Linked DNA regions of Oryzias latipes. The protein of the gene in region 1 interacts with the protein of each later gene in a biochemical or structural test. Links are inferred from orthologs where the notes say so. Each region holds a gene or a part of one and is shown in the gene's direction. Other genes may lie near its edges. The genes, in order: ptch1 and shh.

Region 1 (4,558 bases):
TGTGCATTGCGCCATCACGTTTGCTGAAGCATCTTCGATCGATGTAGACAGGGGAGTTAGGGTGCTGCTGCTCATGTCTGGGTAAAGGAATAGCCAATCACAAAAGTGTCTCCGCCTTGTCTAGTTTGATTGACAGACAGACCCATTCTCCTGAAAAAGCTCTTCATGAAATAAATCAGCCATTGTGAAAAACAGCAACATGAAATAAAAACAAAGCTACTTTGGAAAATATTGATTTTGAAATCCGAGGTTCTGAAAAAAGACGTAAAATTATAATATATTCCACATGATTAAAATGAATATATTTAAAATGCTGTTTAAAAATAATGAACATGTTTTTAAAGCAAAATGAAATATATTGAATAATACAATGGCTAATTTAAAATCAGTGTGCAGGTTTTTCACAATTTCATGATCTTTTTATATATTTATGAGAGATTTATTGGTTGATTGTGTATTTGCATGACGTCATATTTATTTATTGAATTAAATATTTATTTATTTACCGGGAGCCAGTTTAGCTCGTGCTGGTTTGCGGCGCCTTCCGTCCGTGAAACCCGGGTTCGACTCCAGGCTGCTCCCTGTTCCCTTCTCTACCTCTGCCGGTTCCAAGCCCGGTTTGAGAAGGTTGCGTCAGGAAGGGCATCCGGCGTAAAACATTGCCAAATTTACCATGCGACTCGTTCGCTGTGGCGACCCCTGATGGGAGAAGCCAAAAGTGGAAGAAATATTTATTTATTTAATTATGAACAGTATAGGACTCCATATCTTTCACGTCTAGTCTGTACCATTATGGAGGTTGCGCATCAAGTTACAGTGGTTCAAGAGGAGGTTCTATAGCATTCTGTGGTGTTTTTAACAGTATGAGAACATTAAGGCTGAAGGACAAACTTTTAAACAGTTTCCACATAAATGAGTGGGTAAAAGTATGGAAAGCAAAAGTGGCACAAAAGTGGCACAACTCCATATTGACTTTCCATACTTGTCCAATAAGATGTACACTCATTGAAAGTGTGTTCTTCAGCCTTACTACGCTGAAAATGATCAAAACATCACATTTAGCATTTTGTGCCACTTTTGCTTTCCATACTTTTACCCACTCATTTATGTGGAAACTGTTTAAAAGTTTGTCCTTCAGCCTTAATGTTCTCATACTGTTAAAAACACCACAGAATGCTATAGAACCTCCTCTTGAACCACTGTAACTTGATGCGCAACCTCCATAATGGTACAGACTAGACGTGAAAGAAGGGGGGGAAAAAGGTTTAAAACTTCACTTCAGACATTCTTCGGGCGTCGACGACGAACAGACCCAAACTTTCGCCTCAGACCCGGGGTCCTCTTTGAGAAATGCCTTGTTTTATGGACCCGAACGTACCGAGTGGTTCGGCTCCGGTCGAGCCTTCCCTGAAGTCGGAGATGCACACACATGAGGTCCGCCCGCCTGGGTGGTCTCTCTACTTTAGTGAGCTGTTGCTAAGCAGCTAATAATAGTCGTGTTTGCTGAGTAATTTTTGCCCTTCTGGAACCAATCAGATCCAAGAAAGTCCTGCAATCTGACAGCCCCAGAGGCGGGATCTGGAGTATTTTTCCCCGACTCCCCTCCTCCTTCTCTGCCTCCAAATGGAGAGAGGTCTCTTTCTCCCCTTCTATTGAATCTCAGAGTTGGCCGTGACGCGCGGCCCAGGGGAAGACTGCAGAGATCTCATCAGAATGCTGCGACCATCGAGCCCTCCAAGCCGAAGACTCGTGTATGGGAATCCCGTTTCTGCACGCCGCGCTTTCTGAAAGAAACCTTCAACTTTTCCCTGAGGATCGGTGAATGCGGTGAGCGCGCTGGAGACCTCCGGATCACGCAATGTTGGGATGGAAGGCGCAGACTTTGACTCGCCGTCTCCAACTGGAGTATGAAGTCCTTCTTCACGGGTGTGAGAGTGAATCTCCGTTGCCTTGGGAAATCGCTACACGCTTTCGGGGATATACTATAAAGTGGGAAACGGTAACCACCGCGCAGTCCCCGCAACATGGCCTCGGCTGCTAATGCACCCTCCGAACAGGAAAACAGAGACCCTGATCGGCCGAGGATAACGCGGAGGAACAGGGGGGACTATACCCGCAACACACCGCTGGATTTGGAGTATTTACAGCGACCGAGTTACTGCGATGCGGGCTTTGCGTTGGAGCAGATCTCAGAGGTGCTCTTTTCTCCTCTTTCCCTCACCAAAATGAGAGCTTCTTATTGTGCCGGTTTCTTTTTGCGTTTCACCAACAGACAGAGGGGTCAGTCTGTGCGTCCCGTCTGTGGAAGGTAACGGGACGGGCTGGGCAGGGAGGGGTGGTGCTGGTTCAAATTTTAGCCAATTTCCTGCCTGGTGTTGGTGCACCGTGGCTTCTGCGTTAACCTGCGGGACTCTGCCCCCCCACCACCACCACCAAGCCTGTGCGCTTCAACACGCAGCTCCCGCCCGCCCGCAGCTCACCACATCCCCGCGCTGTTTCGTAACAAAGCCCCCCCACACACGTGAGGGTGTTTGACAGTCGGGAGATGGGCAGAGGCGGGGGATAGAAACCCATGTGGCTGCCCTCTTCCGTTCACAAATATCGTGGATACCCCCCACCCCCCTGTGACGGCTCCTCCGCTCCCCACGTTGGCCGGAACACGCGAGCAGCTGGACGCGCTCAGGCGCGTGTGCGTGCATGTGTGCGCGCGCGTGTGTGGCATTTGTGGGTTTGACCACATTCAAGATACTTGATATCTGTAGTTGATGAGCTGAGTAAGAGCCACCTCAGGGGTCGAATAGTCTTTTACTCCAAAACACAGACGGAGATGTGTGCGCATTTACGCATGCTGGTTAGTTTGACCAGCCATCTTCATGACACTCCAAATAGAAGCACAACTGACAGATTCATCTTTTTTATTATTATTATTATTATTATTATTTAATCTCCTTTCATCCATATTTGAGGTGCAGACGGAAACCAATGTTGGTTAGTCCCTTTTTCTTGAAGGGTGTCCAGGCTGTGTGTGGGCGATCTGAAGAGGATGATGTTACTATTAGTCCTAAAGTATAAAGTTGTGGTTTATATGTTACTGATCTGCAGTGCTCACTCCAGGGAGCCCTCAGTGGTTTCCACCACAGCAGATCTTCAGGTTAGCACAGTATGTCTGTGTTCCAACAAGATCTCCTTGTCTTGTTTTGCCTGGATTGAAGTTAACTTCACAGATGTGCTTGTTTTTGTTTCTGGGCCTCACCTGTTCAGGTAAGTGTGGTGTTTTTGGGGCTGTGATCGACAGTAACATCAGGATTCTTGTCTTACAGGGGAAGGCGACTGGGAGAAAGGCACCTCTGTGGCTCAGAGCGAAGTTCCAAAGACTTTTATTCAGGCTGGGCTGTTACATACAAAAGAACTGCGGAAAGTTTTTGGTTGTGGGGCTCATGATTTTTGGAGCCTTTGCTGTGGGCTTAAAAGCAGCAAATTTGGAAACAGATGTGGAGAAACTCTGGGTGGAAGGTAAGATACTAAAGTGTTATCTTCATTATAAGTTTGCATGTAACCTGTTTAGTTCTTGCTTAAATGCTGAGATGGAAAAGTCTGTTAGAAGCTAGGAATAAATAAAGAGGGTTATTTGTTGTCAGATCCCACAAGGAGACTTTGAAAATCATTTTTTAGCTTTTCAAACTGTGCAAGAAGCAGCAGTAACAGCCTTCTGGAGAAGGTTGTAATTAAGCCCATAAGCATCCTTTGGTTACAAAAAAAAAGTTTGGTCAAAGCCGCCATTTTGTAAGAGTGTGTGTGTCGGCCCCCAGCAGTTCAAGGCTCAGAGGCTGTGTGTGGTCCTGTTTTGGACAGCTCTCAACTTTCCAGAAAGATGTGTCTCCGGTTGCAGAGAAAAAAGCAGAATCTGGACAGAAGCTGCTGTTTTTAGGCTGGATCTCCCACTTATTATTTATTCCCCTTTTTTTGCTTTTAATGACAAAAAACAAACAAAACAAAAACAATTAAACTTTAGAAAAAAGCTGTGTGCATGGGTTGTGCTTTGATGGAAAGGGGTTGAGGGCTAGGGGGCTGTGCTTTTCTCCTTTCCTTTGATCTGCATTCCTCTGCTTATGGCTGAAGTCAGCAATAGGAGTCATGAATGGAGGAGCAGATTTTGAGAAATTAAACAGAAAAAAGGGGAAGCAAATCAAAAGATTTGTTTTCTGAATGCGACTTTTGCTTACATAACTTTTTTTTAAAAAGTAGCTGCAGAAGTAAAGCAGGGTTACTCCTACAATGTTTCTAGCAGCCCATCTCCTCCCCAGGTTAGCTGTTCTCTCCATCCTGCAAGTGTGTGATAGACAGCTTCCTCTTCTAATCTTTTTGCACCCTTTTAGTCAGTTTGGCAAAAGGGATTCCTTCAAGAGAAACTTTTTAGATTAAACACACTGGATTCCCCTTTTTCCACTGTGTTCATATCAAAAACCAAGATGAATTTAAACTAAAACCTACCTAAACATTAACAGTGCAAACTAGAGCTGTACATTAGAAGAAAACTTGCGATGTGCAATATTAGTGA
Region 2 (4,282 bases), on another chromosome or scaffold:
AGCTTGCACATACCTTCACTGTCTGATTCCCAGGTCAAACCCGAAAACTGCTTGGACATTTTTACATTTTTGTAAATACTCTGCACCTCAGGTCTGACTGAGAGTCGGTTCCTCTGTGGGGGAAACTCAAGTTCAAACCCATCAGCACTACGAGCTCTCGGAGCTGCATTATTCATTGCATTTTCTGTATTATTCATGTCATTCCACATCACATTTTGTCACTTAGAAGCAATACAGTTCAGTCTCTAATATTTTCCCTGTTGTTGCTTTTGTTATTACAACACTTTGCCCATGGATCATTCACATGAGGACTCTCACCACCTCCTCCTTTCAGCTCGGTGGCTTTAAGGAGTTTGTGTGTCACATCAGGATTGATCTCAGAGCTGCGACACCTGAACCAACACTCTGACCCGGAGCCAAATAGTACCACGCGGTGTCCCTCAGGGAACTGTAAACTCCCAGCACTGCTGTGTTTGAATAGCACCTCTGCAAAAGCAGCTGCAGAAATATTTCTGATGAGAAAATGTTTAGAATTTCTTTGACAACTGAGAAAGTGATGCTGGAAGCAGTTTGTTTTAATCAAAATTTGGTAATTGTGCAGCAAGTATGGTCTCACCTTCACTGGTTGTTCCAGCATGGCACCATGAGAGGTGCACCATGCTGGAGAATAGCCAAACTGAGATTTAAAGAGCTAGATTTGCTCATTAATATTTTTTTATTTCTGTCTTTGGGTCAATTATATTTTATTTTCCTTACATTACTTATCATCTGAATGTGACATTACAGATGGCATTCCTAATTAGTTTTATTTGAATAATATGGAGTAAAAAGCTTTTACATCTTTCTTTTTATGGAACGTTTTATGTTATATATTTACCACAGACAACAGTGTCACTCTGGAAGTCACTTTGCTCACTTTTCTTAGAATTTAGATCACCTGATAGAAAGAAAATCCTGTTATGGGTTAATTATCTCTGTGCTTTAAAGCCCTCTGCATGCCAGGACGTCGGTTAGAACAAATGCCAATCTTTGCTCCTTTTTATTTTTTACACTGAATGCATTTATTGATTTATTTTTGTTTTTCACTGCAAATCCAGGTGTGTGCATGCGCGCGCCGGGAGCACACTCGGCCATAAATGCGCACAGGCGCGCGCAAGCGCACGCGTTGAAGTCACTTCATCCAAGAGAGCGCCGCTTCAGATTTGAGCACAGCATTGTGCAAGTTGTCTGCGCTTCCTCTGCGTGTGTGTGTGTGTGTGTGTGTGTGTTTCGTGAAAGCTGGAAAACGGGAGGGAGGGTGAAAAAAGACGGTTTATAATTGATGTTTTCCCATGGAGGAGCCCCTCCTCCCCGCAGCGGAGGCTAACCCCCAGGTGGGAAAAATCTTTTAAGATTTTTTTTTAATGTGTGTGTGTGTGCGCGCGCGCGTGTGTGTGCAGGACAACATCAGGAGGGTTTGTCTAGTCCCTCCCCTGCTATATAGATCGGTGCTATAATACAAAGCATTAAAGGCGGTCGGCTCACACACGCTGCAGCTCGACTAGAGATCCCGTGGCTTATAATTCCCTTACTACTTTTTTTCTTCCAACCCCTCTTTCGATGTGCCCCGTTATTAGCGTTAGTCTGAGGCGTTCATTTCCGCACCTGCCGCGGTAGAGACCAGGCGAGACAAGGACGGAGCGAGAGCCCTGACAGACGCGCGGCTGAGACCAGCACCGGTGACTCGTTTGAGATCTTTAAAGGACAGGAGGGTGGACAGAAAATGCTACTCTGGGCCAAATTTGTTTTGGTCGGCCTCTTCTGCTTGTCCTTAGTGTCTTCTGGGATGGGCTGCGGACCGGGAAGGGGCTACGGCAGAAGAAGACACCCGAAGAAGCTGACACCTCTTGCGTACAAGCAGTTCATCCCCAACGTGGCGGAAAAGACCCTCGGGGCAAGCGGCAGATACGAAGGCAAAATCACAAGAAACTCCGAGCGATTTAAAGAGCTGACTCCCAATTATAACACAGACATCATATTCAAGGATGAGGAGAACACCGGAGCCGACAGGCTAATGACTCAGGTAAGGAGACAGAACCATTTCCTCCCCTCTTCTCCTAACGCACCATCCCGGCGCACTGCAACAACCTCCTTGTCGGTCTGGATTGCGCACCTTAAGTGAAGTGTGTTGTTCCTGCCGCTGAACTCTTCACACTGAGCCTTTTAACTTCACTGTGAGAGCAGATGCACTTTATGCACCAGCATGGGAGTTTGGAAACGCTGCGGGCTTGAAGCGAGCATTGAAATCCAGAGAAGTGATGTGCAGGAGAACAGTCAGGACACTCGGCCTGCATGGTTGTGACAGTGTATATAAAATATTAATGCGCCCCTCTCCTCACATCTATATTCACATCTATATTTGTATCTCTATGAAGCCTGATTTGTTGCTCTACACGCGCGTATTCATACTAACTTACATACAGGGCTTGTTTGGATGCTGCGGCTCATTTATGCGCCTTTTCTTGTAATAACAGCCATGAACGTCGGGTTTGCGCGCCGCTTCAAAACACATGGCGCAGCTCATTCGCACAATTATCCTCAACCAACTGCTGTTTGGCTGCGCTGGATTTGTGCACAGTTTCTTTAGCTTCATCAAGACTTCAGGACTGGATCAGGATGGCATGTGTTTCTCTGCTCCCTCCTGATGCAGCGCGTTGGTGATCAAATCAGCGCAGAGAGGAAGACGCGATACAGTGGAAAGATGCAGTGGTTTCTGCAGGATGCCGCGTCGCTCCAGTGTGACTTTTTAGCACTCCCATCCTGGTGAATTATTCACGCCGCTTGGGTGATATTGACTCAGTAAGAATGAAATGCCGGTGGTGATGATGGCGTCGCAGGTTGTGATGAAGCTCTGAACCATGCATGCGCATGAGCCTGATAAAATATTCACCGTGCGTCCGTTCTCCGCGTGCCCCCACCCTGCGCTCCCCTCATCCTCTGTGTGAGACGCCTCGAGGGTCTCACTCGTGGGGAGGAAATCACTGGCCCGGGAGGTGATTTCGAATATTAGAAGAACAGAAACATATATAGAAGCACCTGCTTCAATCTGAAGACTCTTTGGAAAATGTTCCACCTGCTGCACTGGCAGGGCGCGTCCACGTGGATGAGTGGCTAAAATGCACGTTTAAGTCTGTTTATTGCTGAGTCGTTTGTGGCTGGCGCCTCACTAGCCAGTCCTCATTCAACAACTCTTTGTGCGTGTAAAAGGAACTCAATATAAACTTTGAACTTTTGGTCAGTCGGGGGTCGGCGCAAGTTAAACTAGGTTATTCCTGCGTCATCGTGCATTTCACAGCAGAGCAATATCAAATTCAACCATGCAAATCCAAACAGAGGGGAACGCAGTAGTGAATGACATAAGCATAATCACATGGAGATTTAAGCTGTCGCAACGTTTTTGCTTTGTTTTGGGCTTTGTGCCACTTGATTTTTACGCGCGGGATTTTACGCACGCAGAAAGACCGGCTCCTCTCCTTATCTGGTGTTTCAGAAAACAGGTGTTGTACATGAAGTAAGGCACGTGCCTTCAGGAGCTCGGTTAGATGTGTGCAGTAAATAAATTAATGAGTCAGCTCACTGAAGTCTGGCCAGGACTGTGTTTTTGAAGGAGGAGCAGCTCGCCCCCAGGAAAGTTATCAGCAGATTTGGTTTGCTTTACACAAGTTTTCAGATAGTTTTTATTTATTTTCTCTACATGTCTTCCACAATCTGATCTGATCATTGTGGGCATCGTTTTTCGTTGTTTCTTTTAGAGAACTGCACTTCTTTATTTTTTAATTTGTCCACTATTTTTGATTTTTGAATTACGGAATTATCTTTTGCTGTTTTTCGGTCTTCACGCTTTACAGGAGATTAAATGGCTCATAAAAGTTTCTTTCGTGTTTATCCATTCTGTAAAGGTAGAGATGAGATGGGAGTTTGTTTGCACTGACAGGTAGCTGACAAGTGTTTCCTTTAACCCAATCATTTGTGAGAAGATTAAGTGGGCAGGCTGTTGAACAACTTTACGAGGAGCCCAGCGGTCCAAAGCGCCCCGCTGGGCTTCATGGTGGCTGAGTAGAATTTGGCTTGATTCGTGGCACACGACCTGATGAATTAATAAAAGGATAAAGCTTTGCACCGCTTTGTTCCATGTTAAAAGTGCGCAAAACTTGTTTTCTAGTTGTTTTAGTGCATTTTGCGAGTGAAACAGCCCTCATAAAACAGCAGTTGTCATAGAATTTTCTGAATGAAGCGTTTAGAG

What was found.
Region 2: the proteins of ptch1 (region 1) and shh are reported together in a solved structure, tested with the Homo sapiens proteins (5 studies listed by BioGRID and IntAct, with this or other methods). The link is inferred for Oryzias latipes from reciprocal best matches to the Homo sapiens genes PTCH1 and SHH.

What each region holds. Positions count from the first base shown.
Region 1 is NC_019867.2:8,902,105-8,906,662, forward strand, and holds the start of ptch1 (protein patched homolog 1), read left to right. Parts: upstream 1-1,634; 5' UTR 1,635-2,024; coding exon 2,025-2,195; intron 2,196-3,320; coding exon 3,321-3,513; intron 3,514-4,558.
Region 2 is NC_019878.2:19,521,999-19,526,280, reverse strand, and holds the start of shh (sonic hedgehog protein), read left to right. Parts: upstream 1-1,423; 5' UTR 1,424-1,762; coding exon 1,763-2,062; intron 2,063-4,282.